2 linked regions of the Diceros bicornis minor genome follow. The protein of the gene in region 1 purifies or fractionates together with the protein of each later gene. This does not show direct contact. Links are inferred from orthologs where the notes say so. Each region holds a gene or a part of one and is shown on either strand. Other genes may lie near its edges.

Region 1 (10,790 bases):
ATCTTTAGTGCTAAATGTGATTAACAGGTAATGGCTGCCTAGAGTGCTATGCTGAGGACTGGGAGACAACATCTGAATTCAGAAGAGTATTTAACATCTGCCACGGTACTAAGAGAAGCAATGATGCTGGGATATGATACTACAATTATGTGATTAAAAGTTCTTCTTCACATTAAATCATGAACTCTTTCAGGATAGAGAATCTATTATTAATAGTTAGACACAAGAGAGGCAGTCACATATTTATTAAATGGTAGATCTGTGTAATGTAGATCCTACCTACTTTTTATCAGGCAGATGATTAGAGTTAACCTTCCCACACGGGATTTACCATCTACTTGAAAATACTTATTTCTGCTGCAACTTGGAGGATAACTGGGACTTGCAGAGGTAGAAAAGGTCATTTCAGGCACTTGGAAAAGTTAATGCAGAGGCAGCAGTAACGTGGTAGAATAAAAGAAAGAAGTCATCTTCCAAATACAGGCCAGATTCATAGTTTAGTTAAATGGATCATGTCAGAAAAATCTGAAAAATCAAAGTAACAAAGACATCCTTTGAATGTCAAAGATTTATCCAACTTTAAGCTAAATACTACTCTCTCCTGATCTACAGACTCTCCATCTATAAAACCATTAGCATTATCTGCAACTTGATAATACTTTCAACCCTTTGTATGAAAGAAATATTAAAGTGAAAACTACAAATCCCTAAAATGTTAATTCTGCAATTAAATATAAACTTACTTTCAAATATGATATAAGTCAAGAGAGGCTAAAGTGTGTTACTGAAAATTAGGCATGTGACTTGAAATCAACTGTTCTCAAAGAGGGGAAGAGGACATGTCATTATTACCAGGAGAGCTCTGCCAAACTACACTGCCCATTCCAGTCTCCAATTCGGATATGTCCTCTTGGGAATACGGGCGGGCGGGCAGGCAGGCAGGAGGAGGGAGCGGTTAGGAATAAAAACATATCTCATATAATTTAGAAACAGCTGTTCCCCTCAAATCTACCACATTTAAGAACCACTAGGCTAAATATATGTACTCAAACTTACAGATCTGAAATTTCCTAATTACATACAAAGAAAGCACGAAGTTGAGAATTGGAGATCTGAGTGCTCACTTTGCCCCTTAGCCATCCAATCTGAAAATTACTTAACTTCTTTGTACCTCAATGGAAATACAATTATATTATTATTATATTAAAATTGGAAGTTCTGGGGCCGGCCCCATGGTGTAGCAGTTAAGTGCGCGCGCTCCGCAGCTGGTGGCCTGGGTTCGGGTCCCGGGCATGCACCAGTGCTCCCCTTGTCAGGCCATGCTGTGGCAGTGTCCCATATAAAGTGAAGGAAGATGGGCGTGGATGTTAGCTCAGGGCCAGTCTTCCTCAGCAAAAAGAGGAGGATTGGCAGATGTTAGCTCAGGGCTGATCATCCTCACACACACACACAAAAAATTTGGAAGTTCTATATACTTCACAGAATTGCTCTAAGGATAAAATGAAATGTGAAGTATAAACATACCTTTAAAATGTGATGAATAAGACATTATCAGCATTATTCAAACTTTAGCCTCATTTACATGTAAAAGCAGAGTAATCTGGATGGGTTCATCTTTTGACCTTGAAGCATACAAGACCAGATCAACAACCTAGAGCCAACTAGAAATGAAAAGGATTCCTTGGGCCTTGCCTAATCCATATCTTCCTACCTCCAAAGCTTGGCCAAATCAAATCTAGCTTGAGAATCAGGAAAATTGATTTCTATTAATGAATTCTTCTGAATATTCAACCTCGCCAGAGAAAGAAACAATGGACTAAGGAGATTCTTAGAAAAGTGAAATATTCAGAATTTTTAACAAAAGACTCTCACTGGACACTTCCACATTAGAATACAAAAGAAAACAGAATAATCTAAACAACATGATTAGGACTCATAAACAAGATTGAAATTTTTAAAAATTAGGTGACAAACTAATAAAAATTTTAATAATCTCATCCCCAAAGGAAAAAAAAAATCAGTGCCAGCTGCTTACACTTCCACATCCCTCTCCAATTCCCTATAAAATGGCCTATAGTAAGCACAATGAAACTCATATGGTGCCCGGCAAACTGAGCACCAAATAAATATCTGTTGAATGAATGACTGATTCCCTTATGTCTCACATCCTTTACATTATTTTAGTGTACATATATGGATATCAGCATGTTTATTTTCTTTTAGCCTACTGAAAATTGAAATGCAATGGTGGCTAAAAAGACAAATTCTGCAAACCCTCACTTTGTTCCATTAGCTTCTACTTTGTCATAAGGTACTCTCTCCTGAATATGGGCACAAACCCTCTCAGACCCAACCATAAGCTGCTCAAATTATTTATAAACAACAATCTAATTACAATTACAACCCAGTTTCAGTAAAAAAATGAATTAATTTTGAATCCAAAATAATTTAAGACAAAAACAAAAATATGAATAAAGACATTTTTACTGCAAGAACTATAAACTCTTGTCTAATCAATAACTTTCCTATAGCTCCAACTTCCAGCCCTATCATATTTAAGGACACCAACTCAGATCATCTTCAACCCTGAAGTGAATCAACTTCCCCTATAATGACAGTGCAAGCCAACTTCCTACATCACTAATATTCTAAGACTATCAACAATTTCCTCCAGAGGAAAAGCACAAAACCCTACCAGTTCTCACTCAGCTAAAAGCAATTCATTTCTCATAAGCCTACCACTTGGATTGGATTTTGGATACAAAACACAATGAAAATCCCAAAACACTCTCAGCAAGACAATCAACTGCATCTTTCACTTAATATGGATAACCCCTCTATGCCAAACATCATAACTGAATACTAGTGTGCATCATCCAAGATGCCAACTATGATGACAAAATGTCTAACACCTATTTTCTCAAATCAGAGGTTCCAGTATACTCCAATGCGTTACACAAACGTAGTAGTTACATCTGACACATGGATGATATTTAACAAACGTGGTTCCCTCTTTCAAGACATTCACTTGAGAAGTGGAAATTTTGTGAACAGATTTTCTTGACTACAGTAGCCTCAACAGCAGATTTAAAAGTGGCCCACCCTTTGAAGTGGGAGGAGATATTTATATACAAACACGATGGATACTTACATTAAATACTACTACTCCTTAGAACATTCATACCCGTTTAGAGCCCCAGCTACCATACGTTAAATAAGCAAATTCTGACCAACAACTCCATCCCTCAGCATCCCAGGAAGCTTAATCCTCTCCCTTTACAAGTTTAATTCACTTCAACAATCCGGACTGACAGGTGCCTAATTTCCAGACAGCCAGGAAATTCAAGGCCCAATCTCCTTGCCCAACTTTCTTCTTGTACGCACATTTATTTGACCTTCCATCTCGCCTCCCTTATTTATTATTTCCTAAAGTCCCTTCACTCCCTCCTCACTAGCACTTACCTCTTTGGTACTCCGACCCTGCCTCGGGACTCTAACATGCCCCCATCCCACTCCACCAACCACCCGTCTGAATGTCTCTGCAAACGCTCGAATCCCTCTGCAGACGCCGCCAAGGCACCCAACAGACCCCCCTCACGCCGGACCCCACCAGCCCAACCAGCAGAAACTCAGAATTTAGCAAGAGAGAGGGCGGGGCCTCCAACCCACCAGACGAAGTCGTTGCTTTTGTCCTCGTAGGAGTTGATGAGCCCGTTGCAGAGGGGGGCGAGCAGAGGTCGCTTCCTGCTGCCGCTGCCCAGGCTGGAGCTGCTCCCTCCGACTCCGGCGCTGGGCCTGGCCGCGCAGCTGAGCCGGGACAGGCCGGCGGACACCGCCCCGCCGCCGCTCCCGCCGCCGCTGCCCGACACGGCGGCCGCCACCAACACAGGCCGCGCCGGGCCCCCGAGGCCGCCGGAGCCCGCGGCCTGGGCAGCCCCGCCGGACCCCAGCGCCGCCGCCGAAGCCGCCACGGACGGGGGCGACGGCGAAGAGGATAAGGACGAGGAGGCGGAAGTCACTGAGGAGGCCGCCGAAGAGCCAGGGCTGGTCCCGGCGGAGCCCGACCCGGCCTGGCGGCTCCCGGACATCGTGACTCCCTCCCCTCCGGCCGGGCGCTCGGAGGAGAGGGACCGCGACCGCGACCCGCCGCCGCCTCCCCTCCCACAGCCTCAGTGCATCCTGAGGACGCGCGCCGCGCCGGGAGGTGGGGCTGAGGAACAATAAAGTTGATTTTTTTAAGGCAACCACACAACAGCGTCCGACGGGAGGGGGCGGAGGAAACTAATAAAGCGGAGTAGAAACCACTACCGCTCTCGAGGCCCCGCGGCCGCTGCCGCAGCCAACCCGGGCGCGCCGTGGGCCGGCCGCGCGCGCGCGCGCGCGAGCGGCGGAAGGGGCGGGAGCGGCGGGGGATACAACTTTAGACGCGGCCCGGGCGGCGCTCGGACGCGAACGGCGCGCCCTCAGCGGCCGCGGCGGCCTGGCAACGACAGCCGCCCTCGTCGAGACCTGTTTTCGTTCGTGACGTACCGGAGGGCAGGCCGTCGTAATGGGTGAAAGGGCTGCGGAGGATGGAATGAATGGCAGAGGTGGCGGAGTGGTTTGGGGGAGGGAGCGGAGACGGGGAGCGCTCAAAAAGCGACTGCGCACGCGCGCCCTGGGCGCCTACCCTCGCGGGTTACCCAGTGTCCCCCTCCAGGCGGAGAGGAGCGGCGCCGGCGCGGAGTCGTCGTACTACGCATGCGTGAGGGCGAGCCGCATTCCGGAACGTGAGGAGGGAGCGGTCGGTGTCGACACAGATGGGCAGCGTGTCCCAGTGGAGACGGCAGGACAGGTGCTTCCGAATCCGGAATTGAAGGCTCTGTAAACTGGGACACTCGGAAAGAACCCAGGAACTCCCAGAAGTTGAAAAGAGCGCTGGGCTGAGAGTCAAGGACTCAGGCTCTGGTGTTTTTAAGACATTCCATGTTATTGTGAGGAGTAAATTAAGATGAAGTCAGTGTTGTTCTTTGTTAATTGCAGACATTGTACCAAATTAAGTATAACAATAATGGGAAAACAAGTTATGCTTAATCAGAACACAGCTCCGTCAGAACCTCGGTTTAATTTGGATCTGATATAATACTACCACAAAACAAGGAAACTTGGCAGTAAATACCACCAGAAAATGTGCAATTTCTGGTAGGCTTTTCGGAATATTGAAAGTTGATTACAGATTTTCATTTACCATTTTGAGATTCTGGGGGATGTAAATTAGAAACAACTGAATTGGGTGATTTTCAGTATCCTTTCCAACTCTATCATTTCCATGATTCTTAGAGGGAGAGATGCCAGATTTAATTCTGTCCCGGGTATTGAAGACTACAGGGGCAATTAGGGCCTTTCCCTAGGAAGGTCCATCCATGCTGAGGGGCCAGGGCTGGGGAAGGACCTAGATGAAGACCCAGCAACAAGACCTAGCCATTCACCTGAGCAGTGAACTGTCATGGCTGCCATCATCCTCAACTCTGCCGTAACTGCTCACCCTCATATTTCCAGCTCAGGTTTCTGCTCAAAATAATGATATAGAAATGGGCTTATCAGATTTCCAAGAACCACCCTCTTTGTATAAATATTACATTATCCAACTCCTTGTTTAAATTCACTTTCAAGGCCATACTGAAATGTGAAGCCCTACTGAGTCCTTGGCAGAGATAGTTGCACTCTCATTTGTGCTCCTAGGATATTTTGTTTGCACTTAAAACATTGTGTTTTAGTGATGTATATATGATTCTCCTCCACTAGCCTGTCAGCTTCAGCTTTGTATTCCCAGCATGTAACACAATACCTGACCTATGATAGGTCCTTATTGAATATTTCTTGACTAATAACTGAATAAAGCAGTTGATCTCATTTTTATTTTAATTATTTGCTTAATGTCTGTCTTTCCAACTAAACTGTAAGCTCCGTGAAAGAAAGAACAATATTAGTTCTCAGTGGGCATTCAATAATTTTTTGATGAAAAAATGCGTAAATAAATGAATATTTATTGAACATTTGCTACACGTAGGCCTGGACTAGGCAAGGAAGAGATGAAGAAGTATAAAAAACGTTGCTCTTACTTCAAGAAGCTTATGAAATAATTGAAGAATTAGAAAAGTACATAAAAAGATAAGTAATGTTAGAGCACATGCTAAATGCTCAATGAGAGCAGAGACTCACCATAGGAACTGAAGCAAGAACAAGTGCTAAGGGCCAGCCATGTTGGTGGGGGAAAAAGGAAGGCCTTAACTGAAAAGTATAGCTTGGTCAAACAGAAAGTGTAATTAAAGTCATGAGCCCAGAAAATAAGTAAGAAAAAATGCTTACATGAGGTTCAGATTTCTATAATTGATAAGGTAAAAGAGTTTATTCAGTAAAAACTCATTTGGGGGCCAGATTGTAAAGCGCCTTGAATCCACTTTAGAAAATAGCCTATAAGCAATTGGAAACAATGAAGGCATTATAAGGAGGTAAAATATATTCAAAGTGTTGTTTTGAAGATTAAGTTTTCAGCAGATTAATCTTTCAGAAGAGGTGGGAGATTAGAAGCAAAGAGACTAATTAGGAAAAAATTATAGCAGTCCAAGCATAAGTGATGAGATTCTAGATTAGGGTGCTGACAAGGAAAGTAAGGGAGTATTCTGAGAAAAATGCAAAAGAATCTATAGGATTAAGTTTTGTTGGTGTTACTGTCAAGTGGATTCCAACTCCTAGTGACCCTGTGCCTAGCAGAGCAGAACCCTGCCTGGTCTTTTTGCGCCATCCTCTCACTTTCCAGTGCTATATCAGACAACGCTCCACTGCTATTCACAGAGTTTTCATAGCCAATTTTTTCGGAAGTGGATGGCCACGTCCTCCTTACTATTCTGTCTAGTCTGGAAACTCCACTGAAACCTGTCCACCATGGGTGACCGTGCTGGTATTTGAAATAGGAGGATTAAACTACTCTTGGTAAAAGAATCTTTACAATCCTTGAGGGCATGACCCATATCTGTCTTGTTCATCACTGTCTTTCCACATGCTTAGCAGAAAGGCTAATAAGTTAAGTAAAAATGATGAACACAAAGAAGAATGACTGCAAAGATACCTCCAGGAATAATAGCGTGATGACAGAATTGGAGATGGCCAGCAGATGTTTAGTTTTGGATGTGTCGAGCGAGTGTGGGGTGAAAATACATTCAAGTAAGTATATCCCGGCGGTGATTGAAAATTCAGGCTATGGCACAGGAGAAGGTTCAACACATGAGAGAAATAAAACTGCAGGCTCCTGAGCTCTTCCTTCAGAGATTCTGACTCTATAGGCCTGGGGTAGGGCCTATGAATATGCATTCTTACCAGCACCCAGGCAAATCTGATGCAGGTGACGAACCCTTGAGAAACCCTGTGATTGATATTGTAGGGCGTGTAAGAGAAATGTGTAAAATAGTCTCTTCCTTCCAGGTAGCTTATTCAGGAGACAGAAAGTGATAGGACCCCAGCTAAGTCTCCTAATCAAAAATCAGTGCCTGGTATTACCTCTTTGGAACCTGTCTTCAGTGAAATCTAAACTCACAAAAGGAAGCTAAGGGTATGTGATAATGATGGAATTTCCCTTTTATACCAGATAAATGTGTAAAGACTACTCTGAAAGTACATAATTTTTATCTCTTTTTTTTTTTCCCCCAGAAACAAAGGACTTGATTATTCATAGCAATAGCAGTGGGTAGAGTATCAGCATTTTCATGGGCCAGTTCACTGAGCCCCAATTCCCACAGGGCCATGTGGACCAGAGGCATAGATTGCCCTAGAGGAGAGGAACCCTGAGCTTAGAAACACATAGATACAGAGAAGGGATTGGTGGTAACCAGAGTGGTGGGGGTGGGGCAAAAGGGGTAAAGGGGCACTTGTGAACGATGATAGATGACAACTAGACTTATTAGTTTCTACTGGCAAGATTTTCTGGGAAAGCAGAAGAGAAAAGAGGAAGCATGGCAAAATACGCACAAAGGAAGTCAGACAACTCAGGAGAAGTAGCAAATAGAAGAGAAGAAAACATTAATGAAAATGAAAGTAAATGTAAAATAAAAACTAAGCCCTAATAATTAAAAGAATTCATCATGTTGTTAAATATATTAATCCTGTGAATGACAAAAATGACAAGAAAAAATCCAAAGTCCTACAAAACACTGCTACTGAAGTAAAATCTAATGGAGTTAAGATAGAATGGAATTAGCAAGAGGATTGGATTTCCCAGACATATTTCTAAGTTGCCTTGTCCAAATATAATATTTTAGGGAAATAAGGCTGCTGGCTTTCATCTCCAACTAGCCTTGCACTTTGGTAACCCATCTCCCAAAAAGATCCTGCCAAAAAAGCTTTATCTGCCTGACTCACCTGAAAGGTTTGCTACCTGTTAGCCCTGTTTGCTGTCTAACCAAATCTCTGAGTGAATAATAGCTTCCTGTTCAATTTTCTTTGAATTTAATGTGGTTGCCCTGTTAAAAAAAAAAGAGATGTGAAATAAACATGGTATTAACAAGCTAAATTGAGAAGAAAAAAGTAAAAAAAAATTGTCAATGTGAAGGGACAGAAAAGAAATAGAAAAGTTTCTGTAACCCAGTAGCATCATAATGCATCTAGCAGAAAATAATCCATAGTCTACCGGGAAAATGAAAAGCTCCAAGTTATACATTAAAACCAGAGGCAGACAGTTACCTATGGAGAACTACGTTTTCTTAGAGTTATCATTTGAGGACAATCTCTTTTCTGAAAAGGCCAAGGTCTGTCACACTGTTGTCATTGCTAGAATTGCATCATTAGCTTTTATTCCACTCCAAGTCTTCCTGTATGAAATTACAACCATTTTTTAGAGAAGGTAAACTAATAGCACTAATACCATGGTAAGTCAGTCATCGTATTAAAATAAGTTAGGGCCGGCCCCAGTGACCTAGTGGTTAAGTTCAGCATGCTCTGCTTCAGCAGCCCAGGTTCGGTTCCTGGGCACAGACCTATTCTACTAGTCTGTCAGTGGCCATGCTGTGCCAGCGGCTCATGTAGAAAAAGAGGAAGATTGGCAACAGATGTTAGCTCAGGGAGAATCTTCCTCAGCAAAAAAAAAAAATGCATATAAAAATAAATAAAAGAAGTTAATTTCCTGTATTAAAGCATTTTTGCAAGCTACTGCTGGCAATTTTAGTCTAGGTAGTTGTAAAATATGGCCTAGGCCAATCAGAAGTATTATAACAATGAAAGATTATAGGTGGAGCTATATGAATGTGAATGCAAGTTACTGAATAGGGTTAGTCAGCTTAAAGGAAAAAAAAAGCCCAAGATTGGGAAAAACCAACATTTACTTGTTTTATATATGGTGAATGTGTACATATTTTATGAATATATGAATAGATTTAGATCCAGTTGAAGATCATAAACCAAAACAAAATGAGGTGTAATGAATTCTGCAAAAACAGAACAATTGATGTCATCATGAGGTGGAGACCAGGTAATATTAAAGAGCAAAAGAAGAAAAAAACACACCTCACATGGAAACTGAAGCAGATAATATTGCAAGTCTTTTTTCCGTGGATTTGACCACGCATACATGTAATGTGGCATAATTAAGTGATCTGGGAAAGTGTTTATAACTAGAATCAAGAAATGTTTAAAACAGTTGTCAGACAGGGGGAAATCCCCTTTATACTCTTCTTGTGTTATGGCTAGATTAAAAATAAAATTGACACAAGACCAGATTAACAGGAGAAAAACCCAATTTAGTTACATGTGCGTGGGAGAATTATGGAAATGATTCTCAGCGAGTGAACAAAGCAGGCGTGTATATATGTCTTTTACACAAAAAAACAAATTTACGAGGAATGACAGCACAAAGAAACAGGTTTGGAGTACGTAATTTGTGAGGAATTTAAGCAGAGTTTAGGCTTGAGGTAGTAAATTAGCAAGGTTTGTTTATGCAGGCTTCTTGGCCCTGAATTCCCTTAATCTGGTGATAAGGATGCAGGGAGGGCACCTTTCACATGGGAGATGTATTTCCTGCTTTCAGGGGGAACAGAGACAGGAGGTTCAGTATGCCCTTTTTGCTTCTGAAGCAACTTTAATTCAAAATAATCAACATGCCATTGTGGGATATTTTGGGGCGGCCCGTCGTGGGCCCCAACACAGTACACTGTAATTTGCATCAAGACTCCTTCTTAGGTTGTGAGTGATAGTCCTTTCTGCCTAGTACCCTGGGTATTCAGATGTAATTGCTGGCAAATCATACTATGATATCTCCTCTAATACCCACTCGTGTCACCCACTGAATTCTATAAGAAACTGGGAATGCTAAAGCAGCACTAAATTGTGAACTTTAGTAAACCACCTAGAATGAAAGATGAATAGTATTTGGATATAATCATTATATTTAGATATTTATCAGGTTGGAAGAGAAGTTAGTTTGGGAACCTATTCTTAACCTTTGAAGATGATGTCAAGTAAAATAAGTATTCCTTCTGACAATACGTTTCCTCTTATTCTCTGAGACGTATGGTAATTCTTATATTCTTAATTTGTTTTACTCAGATACAGCAGGTATTTCTTTTCTCACCCCATTGAGTCCTCCCACACAGAGCCCTGGGCATCTACCATTAAACCTGTTCATCAACTGCATTTGCACTTATTAATTTATTGTGAGATAGTAGAAACTGGTATTATTTCATCTACAGATTGGAAAAATTAGGTCAAAGCAGTGAGGTTGCTGGCTGAAATCCTGGCACGCCACCCTACATTCAACAAATGAG
Region 2 (10,384 bases), on another chromosome or scaffold:
CTCAGGCCCCCTGTGACGCTGGTGGAGAGTGGCCCCCAGGGCAGGTACCTTGCAGGTGTACTCGGCTCCTGTGGGGCGGTGCAGGGCCCGGTAGGCCTGGCCGCCCTCCTCAGGCTCCAGGAGGACATAGGGCCCAAGCCGGGAGGCGGTGGTCACAGCAGGGGCACGGAGTGGAGCAGGGGGTGGGCTCAGGGGCAGTGGGCAGGGGGGCAGCCTGGGCGGGGGCCCACTTCGAGCTTGTTTCCGGGTGGGAGCCTCAGTGTCTAGGTTGTCGTCCAACTCCAACCGCTTCTTCCTGGAGGGGGCAGCTGCAGGAGCAGCCAGAGGGGTGGCTCGCATCTAGAAAGAAGGAGAGGAAGGCACTCAAGTGAGGCTGTTTGGCGGCCCTCTCTTCCCCTGCTGGTGGGAGGGTACATTGGCCCAGCCAATTACAGAGGATGATTTGTAGTGTGTATTAGACTGACAAGTGCACATAGCCCTAATTGGGTGTCCCACTTCTGGGAATTTATCTTCCAACTAAAATGCTCACCAAAAAATTAAATATGTGAAAGGCTGCTCATCAGAGCCTTGTGTCTAATAGCAAAAGGCAGGAAACACTCCCAAGTGTCCAGCAGTGGGAGGCTGGTTAAATACCATGGTACAGCCATACCGTGGAATACTATACAGCTCTGAAAAAGGACTGGGAAGCTCTCTATACACTGATGTAACGATGCAAGTACAAGGTTATTCCTGCAGCCCATGTGATAGAAACAATTTAACGTCCATCCTTAGGGGGCTGGTTAAATAAATTGTATTTCATCCATACAGGGAACAATTGTAGCCATTCAAAAGATTGAGGAAACTCTTTATGTGCTGATTGGAAAGATCTCCAAAGTGAACTGTTAAGTGAAAACAGAAAAAAAGGTAAAGCGGAGAGAGAGACTTAGTGGTTGTGACAGGGAGGAAGAAAGACTTTGCATTGTATCTGTTGAGTGTCATAGCGCAGGAGGCTATGAGCCGTGACGGGGAGGGAGGGAAGGAGGGAGTAAGATGATGAGGGTGCTGCATGAATGCGGTGGGCCTGAATGCGCATGTGCATGTGCGCTCTGGAACGGACATACTGTCCAGGGGAAAGCAGGCTGCTGAACAGCACACCCAAGGTGACCTCATTTATGCAAAGACCCCCCAGCATATAAAATGATGTAGCTCCATGTTTGCGTGTATGTCGGTGTGTGAATGCACAGGGAAAGGTCTGGAAGGACCCAGACTAAACTGGAGGCCCCCAGGGGAGGAAGGGATTTGGTAGGGGGGCAAGGGAATTTTCAATTTCAGTATTGTAAGGTAAAGATCCTGCGTTCACTTACTGCTTGAGTATTTCAGATCAGAGTGTATTTCTTTTTTTTCAAATGTGAATTTTATCTACTATTGCCTGACGGCTCAAGAGCTCCCGGAATCACAGGGACCACAGGCGAAGTCAGTCCCCCAGCCAGCTCAGCTTCCCCCTCATGTGAGAGGTGAGGCGGGGAGGGGAGGGTCTGTCAAAGGCCCCCAAATTCATTCATTCAGCTGTGGGGGAAGCCACCCCCCGTGCAGCTGTGTCACCGTGTGTGGTGGGTGGAGGAGAGGGCAATGGCATGTCTGGGCGGAAAAGTTCTCTCCAGGACCCATCTGCCCACCCATTCAGGCTCCAAATGAGGGACACGGAGCCCAGGGAAGAGGAGTCAGAGGGAGATGGACTTCAGCCCAGGTGAGACCTTCCCAACAGTCCCAGGCAGGATTAACAGGGAAACATGACTCAGTCAGTTCTCACACTGAGGCCCACCTCTCCAATCACGCTGCTCCCAAATGTCTGGGCTGGCCTGGGAGGAAGGGAGGGAATCCCCACCCCCACCCCCACCCCCACCCCGAGTGAAAGGCCATAATCCCATCTTGGTAAGAATGCAATCAGGGGTGGCTGCAGTCAGATATTCCTGGGTTCTAATCCTGGCTCAGATCCTTCCTGGCTGGGTAGTCCTGGGCAAGCTCTTCAACCTCCCTGAGCCTCAGTTCCCTCATCTGTAAAGTGGGAACAGGATGCAAAGCCCATAGGATTTTTCTGATGATGAAATGAAAACACAAATAAACTAGAGTGGCCTTTTGTAGGGTAGGTGTCAGAAAATGGTCACTACTGTTGGTCCGTTACTATTATTATTATTATTCGTAGCTGAAGATGCTAAAGTGCTACCCCTGAAAGGCTCAGGAATCTCCCTGGGGTGAGGCTAGGATGACACTCTTTACCTCCAGGGCTGTTCTGAGAGTCACACAGGATGACACCTGGCTGTGTGGATGCTTTGTGCCCTGGCAGCACGAGACTCCCTGGAGGGGCCCTCTGGGGGCCACACCAGCACTCAGGCTGCTTGGTCCCATCCATGCCCAGAGGCTGCTGGGTCTGAGATAAGCTCACTGGACAGGTGAGGTAACTGAGGCTGTAGATGAGCAAGGCCACACTGCAGGACTAGAATCTCTGCTGTAGGATGGAGGCAGCCCCCAATATCTACCTCTTGCTGTTCCCTGACACCTCCGGGGAATGAGAGTGAGCCATACCAAACACACACACAACCCAGGGCAGACAGGTGTACTCACGCCCCTCAAAAAGACACTTTGTCCAAGCCAGCCAGCCCGCGCCGCACATCCAGGGCAGAGAGGGACATATCATTACGTGACACACACCTCGCCCTCCAGGGCAAGTGCACAGGCACACACACACAGCTCTCCCCACTATCACACTCAGGACTGCAGGATTGATACCAACGAGGCCATACGCACAGTCTGACACGCCCCCCCAACCCCGCGGAAGGCAGTTAGCACCCTCCCGGCGCCTTCCGCAGCCAGGCCCCTCCGGTGGGAGCTGAAGCGGCGGCCGCGGGTGTCCCGGGCAGAAGGTTCGGCGGAAACCGAGAGGGGTGGGGGCAGTGAGGCAAAGGGAAGGAGGCTGGGCCCCAGGCTGGGAGAAGGGGCGGACCTGGGCCCTCGCCCCCACACGCCCGAGTCTGCAGGTACAATGCACACCATTGGCAGGAACAAATACACGCGCGCACAATACAACGTGCAAACCCGAAGCCGCACCGCCCTCGGGCCCCGCATCCCGCGCTGCATCCTCGCTCCCACTCGCCGTGCACCCCCCCACCTCCCTCCCCGCCCCGCCCCCTCCGGCACCCCAGCTCTTCCCGGCGGTGTCCCCGCACAGCCAACACCTGCCACCAGGTGCCCAACCCTCCCCACAGCTCGCACAGTCCACGAGGACACAGACCCCCGAGACCATCCCCGCCCAGACCCCACAGGGTCACGTGGACACCCGCAGATCCCCACAGGCACGCCCCCACAGTGACACAGACCCTACACGCAGTCCCCCAATGCCCCACACAGGCGCCCCCAGACCTCCCGCACCAAACGACACAACTCCCCCGCCTCACACTCACACAAAACACAGACAACCGCACACCCCTCTCGGGGCGACACCCGGACACCTCAGTCCCCGGCCCCCTCTGCCCCCGGGACACAGCTGCCACTCCCCACGGGAGCGCACCCTCGGCCCAGCCCGAGTCGGCCACACTCGGGCGACCCCACGCCCTGCCGGGCCGTGTCACCTGAGACGCGACGGCAACACTCAGCCCAGGTCGCGCCCTGGACTGCGGGGTTTGTTAAAAGTTGTGTGTGCACGCGCGTGTGTGTAACACGCAGCAACCCGCAGCCGCCCAGAGGCTCCCGGTCCCCCTCCGCCCATCTCCGTCCTCTCTCCTGTCCCCACCGGGTACCTTGCTCCCGCGTGCGCGGGGGTCCTGCCGCCGCTCAAGCTCAGAGTCGCCGGGGCCCCCGGGTGGCCCGGGGTCGGTCCGGTGTGCCGAGCTCGGGATCCCGACGGAGCGCTGTCCCGGCCCCAGCAGCCGGACGCGTGCGGCGCCGCCGGCGCTTCCGCTGCGAGTGTCTCGGGGACGCCAGGCGCCGGGCTCCTGCTCCGGCCCGGGTGATGTAAACCTGAGCTAATCAGCCGCCTCCGGATGCCCTCAGGCCGGGGATTGCACCATCCGCCGCGCCCCGCCCCTCGGGGTCACCGCCGAGCGCGCCCCGCCCCGGCCCCTCCCTTTCGCTCCGCCCCGGCACCCCTCGCCTCTCCCGCCCTCTAGGGGTGTCTGGTCTCCACTCCCTCCCCTCCTGCCCCGTGCCCGAAGTTTGAGCGAGGACACCTGCCTCCGACTCTCCCTATCACCTTGGGAAAAGCATTTTGCTTTTCTGAGCCTCAGTTTCCCCATCTGTGAAATGGCAAGCAAGAACATCCTTCCCTCTCAGGATGGTTCCAAGGAGAAAGAGCAAACCGTGACAGTTTCCTGGGTGCTTCCCCGTTTATAAAGCGCTTTGGGGTCCTGCCCGGTGGCACAGCGGGTAAGTGCACGCGCTCCGATTCAGCGGCACTGGCTTCTCAGGTTCGGAACCGGGCGTGCACAGGCGCACTGCTTGTCAAGCCATGCTGGGACAGTGTCTCACATAAAGTAGAGAAAGATGGGCACAGATGTTAGCTCAGAGCCAGTCTTCCTCAACAAAAAACAGGAGGATTGGCATTGGATGTTAGCTCAGGGCTGATCTTCCTCACACACAGACACACACACACAAATATATATATATATAAAGCACTTTGCCACCATTGCTTTATTAAACCTTTAGGAGAACCCCAGGGGGGCAGGAAGCTCCATCTCCCTATTCTACTCAGGGGGAGCGTGAAGCTCCGCTCTGGGAAAGCAGCCCTGGAGTTTTGCAAAGACCACAGATTTAGGAGCCGCCTCCAGGCTCAAAAGAACCAGTGGGGTGCCCTGGAGAGGCCTGAGGTTGGGTGGGCTTCACAGCATTCATTTGACAGAGGCAGTGCAGCCTAGTGGTTAAGAGCAAACACCCTAGATCCAGCTTGCCTAAGAGTGCACCCCACCACTGCCCAGACCCACTGTGCTACCTCAGGAAAGATACTGAAAACCCTGCTTCAGTTTCCTCCTCCGTAAAACGGGCTTATAATAGTACTCACTTCACGGGGTTGTTGCTTGGATTAAATAAATTAATACGTGTAAAATACTTAGAATGTGTGGCATGTTGTAGGTGCTCAATAAATAGAGTGGGGACAACGGGGGCTCAGAGAGGGGAAGGTGCCCGTTACAGGGCTCACACTCCAGACCTGGGAGGCCTTGGTGGCCCTTGCTGTTTGATGGAACATCCCTGTGCAGCCCCAAGGGGCCAGCACCTTTCTTGGAAATCCCTTTTAGGTCTTGATATCTGAATTCACCAGTGTCAAAAAATAACTCCTTGGGGCAGAAGTTGGATGGGAGGTGGGTGGAGTTCTGTTTCCCTGATTCCAGCACTCCAGGGACCAGCTCCCCTGTGTCTCAGAACCCTCCGAGCACAGCAGGGGGTTGTGGCACCTCACTTAACCCTGGAGACTCCCCTGCCGGGAGGGATGGGTGGACTCATTTTCTACACCAGGAGGTCCCGCAGCCGTCCGGGGCAAAAGAAGGCAGGCATTCTTATCTTCTGAGCACCTCGATGGAGCCAGCACTGTCTGGGTTTGCTCCCACATTCCTAACTTTGTTTCATGCTGTGTCAGACCCTGTTCTAAATGCTGGGGACTCAGCCGTGACAAGTCTGACCTATTCCTGCCCTCAGGGATCTTATAAATCAGTGGGGAGACAGACCATTATCAAGAAAATAAAATTAATAGCCGAGATCATTTAAAATAGGTTATAAATGTTATGTATTTTCTTGAATGAACAGGATAGATTTGTTCTCCATCAGATATGACTGAGCGGTGGCTATTTTCAGTAGGAGTCATCAGGAAGGTGATGTTTAAACTAAGATCTTAAGGAAGCGAAGGGGTGAGGAGTGCAAAGATGTGAGGGGAGACAGAGAAAAAGTAAGTGCAAAGGCCCTGAGGTACTTAAGGAACTGTGAGATGGGCACTGTCACCTCCGTTCTATAGATGAGTCCAGGTGAGGGACTTACCAAGACCACCGAGCTCGTTGTATGAAGCAGATTTGAGATTTGAACCTGGGGCAGCTAACTCCAGTGCCCACACTGTCCAGGGACAGATCACAATCTTTGCAACCCGAAGGCAGCCTCCACCCGGACTTGTGGATGGTCACTGGAACCGCACCCTGGGCCTGGACTCCAGGTTTGAGGGCCTTGTCACAGTTGGGGGTGTCAAATCCCAATTCTCTAGACCAGCACTTTCCAATAGAACATAACATGAGCCAAGTATGTTTTCATTTTTCTAGTCAGGTATTGCAGGAGAATAAAAAGAAGCAGGTGGAATTAATATTAATAAATATTAAATATTCTATTTAATCCAATAACATAGCATATTATCATTTCAACAGATAAGATAATAAAAATTATTAATGAGATAATCTAAAATTTTTTTCATACCAATGTCTTCAAAATCTGGTGTGTATTTCATACTTGGTTTGGACACAAATCAGCATGGAAGCTAAATTGTCAGTGGTGAAAGTGAAATGTTGTCCTCCCAAAACAATTAAATTGGGTTTAAAGGAAAAAATATGCTACCTGTTTTAAAATTAAAATTCAGTAAGATGAAAAATTTGGTTCCTCAGTCACACCAGCCACATTTTAAACGCTCAGGAGCCACGTGTAGCAAATGGCTATGGTATTGAGTAGCACACCCCTAGACCAAGAATTCCAGGGAGTATAGCAAAGAAGTGAAGAGCGTGGGGTCTGCAGTATAGATGCCACAGAGCCTGGAGCCTCAGTTTCTGCATCTATGAAATGGATTGATTATACCTTCTTTGCATTGTAGTCCTAAGGATTAAATGCACTGAGGCAGTTTTCTCATCTGTGAAACGGGGAAAATAATAGTGCCTACTTCATCGGTTTGTTATGAGGATTAAATGACTTAATATCTGTGAAGTGCCTGGCATATAAATGCTATATAAGCATTTGTTAAAAGAAGAGAAAATAAATGGTGATCAACGCCCCAAAATTAAATGCAAAAATGTGCACTTTCCTGGATGGAGAGTTGGGCTTTCGTCAATTCCCTTCTCTGCGGGCTCAGAACGTCCCTCCACCCAGATGCCTGAGCCACGCGGGCTGCATTTCTATTCGCTGTAGTTCCGCTGACCCCCAGCGCTGGGAGGAGGAACTCGGCGCGGGGCGGGGAGGCTGCGCTCCAAGGTGGGGGTGGGAGTCCGTGGACCGCGATGATAGGAGCCGCGCCCGCCTCCCTCCTCCACACCCCGTCGCTGGTGCCTGCCTCAAGCCTGAAATGCCACCGCTGGTGTTCTTAAAACGTTTCAGCTTTTTTTTTCTATGTCTGTCGCCAGTCCTCCTCCTTTTGTTGAGGAAGATTGGCCCTGGGCTAACATCCGTGCCCAATTTCCTCTACTTTATATGGGACTCCCCCACAACATGGCTTGACAAGCAGGGCATCCCTGCGCACGGGGGATGCGGACTGGCGTACCCTGGGCGGTCACAGCCCCGCGTGCGCACCTCACAGCTGTGCCACCAGGCCGGCCCCAAAACCTTCCGCTTGGTAAGTTGTGCCCACGAAAGCGAAAAGATGCTTTGGAAAGAATTTTGGTTGGATTCAGGTCTGGCTGAAGCCATTGACCCCGTGAGATGGTGGGCAAGTCATCTTCCCTCTTGGGGCCTTAGTTTCTTGTCTGTAAAATAGGAAGAAAGAGTTGGATTAGGTCGGTGTTTTCTAAAATATGACATGTATAGCAATGGTGGGGTCTCAAGACTCTGAATCATTGAATCATTTGGTGGTACATGCATTTCCTTTTGATTTTCTTCCTGTTCCTCCAGTTACTGGGGGGAAAAGTCTCATTTTACAGCCTCTCTGTCTTTAACAACTCGCTTGGTAAGGAAGAGAGAGCAGGGCTCAGTCCAGAGCCTTCAGCAAGAAACAGGATTTTGCTAGGCTTGAAGAATCTTATTTTGCTTTCCTTGTATTTAATTTGATGGTGACTTTCTCCTTACCGGAAATGATAGTGGCTTTCCATTTGAGGTCAGTGACTTAAATGTTCCCTTTTAAATGAATTTACCTAAGTTTTAAAAAATAAGCTGATTGAAAGAAAAACATCAGGAAACTAATAATACAGATGCGTAAATGGATTTGAGCCAATCAATTTGGGAAAAGCAGTGAGTGATTCAAGAGTTGCAGCTCTAGGCCTGTGCTCCTCTTGGGGAGCCCTCATTAGGAGACCAGACACCCCCCCTTCTCTGGGGTTTCCCAGGGGCTTTGCAGAAATCCCTCATCATCCGAATGTGGCTGAGGCTGGGCCTCAGGAAAGGCAGGAAGCCCTGTGCGTGGGCACAGCATCTTCCCAGAGGTGGCCCAGTGGCAGCCACGGCCCTGCCAGGTGACCCAGGTCTGCCCTGTGGGCCTGGGTTTTCTTTAGGAAGAATGTGATTCCTGTGCTTGAGGATGGAGCATGGCCCTGTGTGGGTGCTTCCTTACATCACCTCACTGCATCCTCAAACCTCCCAGGGAGTTGCTGTTTTCATCCCTGGAGACAGATGAGGAAACTGGGCTCAGAGAGGTGACATCACTGGCCTAAGGATGAGGAGGGTAGTGTGATTAGGAGCCTGTCTATCTGGCTTAAAGCCCAGGTGGTCTTTGTCCACAGCCTTACATAACCTCTTTGGCCAGTACTAGTTATATGACACTGGGCAAGTCACTTAGCTGCTCTGAGACCCAGAGCCTCATCTATGAAATGGAATTGATAGTAGCATCCTCCTGATAGGGTTATTGAACTGCTTCTTGTTACCGGGAACTGTTATTGGATTAAATGGAGGGTTAAATGAGTTAATACAGGTAAGGTGCTTAGAAGAGTTCGTGGCACACAGTAAGCACTTGATGATAAGCGGCAATATTATGTCTACGGAGCCCAGGCTGCTGCCTCCCCTGCACCCCAACACACACCACTTGAGAGCTGAGGGTGGAGGGAGAGGTGGGGACACACCTCCTGAGCATCCCCCGTGTGGCAGGCCTGGGCTGTGTCCTCCGTCTGCTTTCTCCTGTAATCCTGACCACAGCCCTGTGAGCTAAGGATGAACTTATGCCCTTTCTACAAGTGAGAAAACCAGGTGTCAGAGAGGAGAAGTAACCTGCCCAGGATCACACAGCAAGTCCAGGGGTTTGAACCCAGGTCTGTGTAGTTCCAAAGCCCGTGTCCTTCCGCTATTTCAGGAGCCTCAAGGAGATTGGCTGAAAGCTCTGGGGAAGTCCTGTGCCCCCCTCAAGGGTGAGGGGTCCTCTCCCCAACCTGCGGTGGGAGGAGCTGGATACCGCAGGAGGAAGGCAGGTTTCTGGTTCTGACCTTGCCTTTGACCTTGGGCAGCCCCAGTCCCTCTCCCGGCTCAGCCACAAAATTACTGCTTCATGTGTGTAAGGATGGGGCTCTCTGAACTTCCAGGGATCCTGCTCTGTCCCCTACCTTCCAGCTGAGGGGAGGAGGGAGCCCAGATCCACCCCTCCCAGTACTGGAGCTGCCACTGAGTTGCTGAGTCGTCTGATCCCTGCCCTGCCTGCCTTCCTTCCTGCCCGCCCCCTGCGGTTCTGAAGCCATCAGCACCAGGGAAGGAAAGGGATGCTGTGTTCCATCCAGGCCACTGTCCAGCCCTTCCCTTTCTGAGAAAAGCTTGTGAGATGGGGGGTGGGGGGGGCACTTCGAGGTGTTCAGCCAGCAGCCGGTTGCATCAGAAAAGCCTTGCGCAAGGCGCCCTCCTGGGTCAGGCGTGGAGTCCTGCCCCATAGCCCCTACCCCCATCCCAGCCGGAGCCCCTGGGGTGCTAGAGTAAGGACTGTTAGGCCTTGTGGGGGACACTCAACCAGGCCTGGCCCTCGGGAGTGACCTGGGGAGGGCGAGAGCATGGAGGGGAGTGTTTGGATGATGGCACTTTAGGCTGGAAGGTGCTCCTCAAGGAGTCCAGAGCGAACTCCCCCACTCAGTCCCTCCCTGGACACTGACTGAGCCCTGACCCTTGACTCTGGTCATAGACTGAGCCCTAGTCCCTGACTTTGGACTCTGACTGAACTCTAACCTGAAACCTTGGCCATAGCCTGAGCCCTGATCACTGCCCCTAGCCAGGGCTAAACCCTGACCCTGGCACCAAACTGAGTGCTGACTCGGTTCCTGACTGGGCACCCACCTTTTCCCATCCTGACCCCTGGCCTGAATTCCAATTCTGGCTCCTGACTGAGTTATAGTCCCGCAGACAGACTTAGCTCTAATCTGTTACCCCTGACCCCAGTCCCCAGATACACCCAGCTCTAGCCCCAGGCCTGAGTGTCTTGAGACACTCTTAAGAATCAAGAGAGCTGTGTCAGGCACAAGCATCAGGAGCTTGGCATCTGCTGGCCTCCCTCCTG

Evidence for each region. Proteins that work in one complex are often made in the same cells at the same time.
Region 2: the proteins of COP1 (region 1) and TRIB3 purify together in Homo sapiens (affinity purification with mass spectrometry; 5 studies listed by BioGRID and IntAct, counting the BioPlex papers as one, with this or other methods). This does not show direct contact. The link is inferred for Diceros bicornis minor from reciprocal best matches to the Homo sapiens genes COP1 and TRIB3.

The regions. Positions count from the first base shown.
Region 1 is NC_080743.1:90,433,804-90,444,593, reverse strand, and holds the start of COP1 (E3 ubiquitin-protein ligase COP1), read right to left. Parts: upstream 4,313-10,790; 5' UTR 4,089-4,312; coding exon 3,670-4,088; intron 1-3,669. UniProt on the Homo sapiens protein: E3 ubiquitin-protein ligase that mediates ubiquitination and subsequent proteasomal degradation of target proteins.
Region 2 is NC_080758.1:28,575,406-28,585,789, reverse strand, and holds the start of TRIB3 (tribbles homolog 3), read right to left. Parts: upstream 3,950-10,384; 5' UTR 3,774-3,949; intron 340-3,773; coding exon 49-339; intron 1-48. UniProt on the Homo sapiens protein: Inactive protein kinase which acts as a regulator of the integrated stress response (ISR), a process for adaptation to various stress. Inhibits the transcriptional activity of DDIT3/CHOP and is involved in DDIT3/CHOP-dependent cell death during ER stress.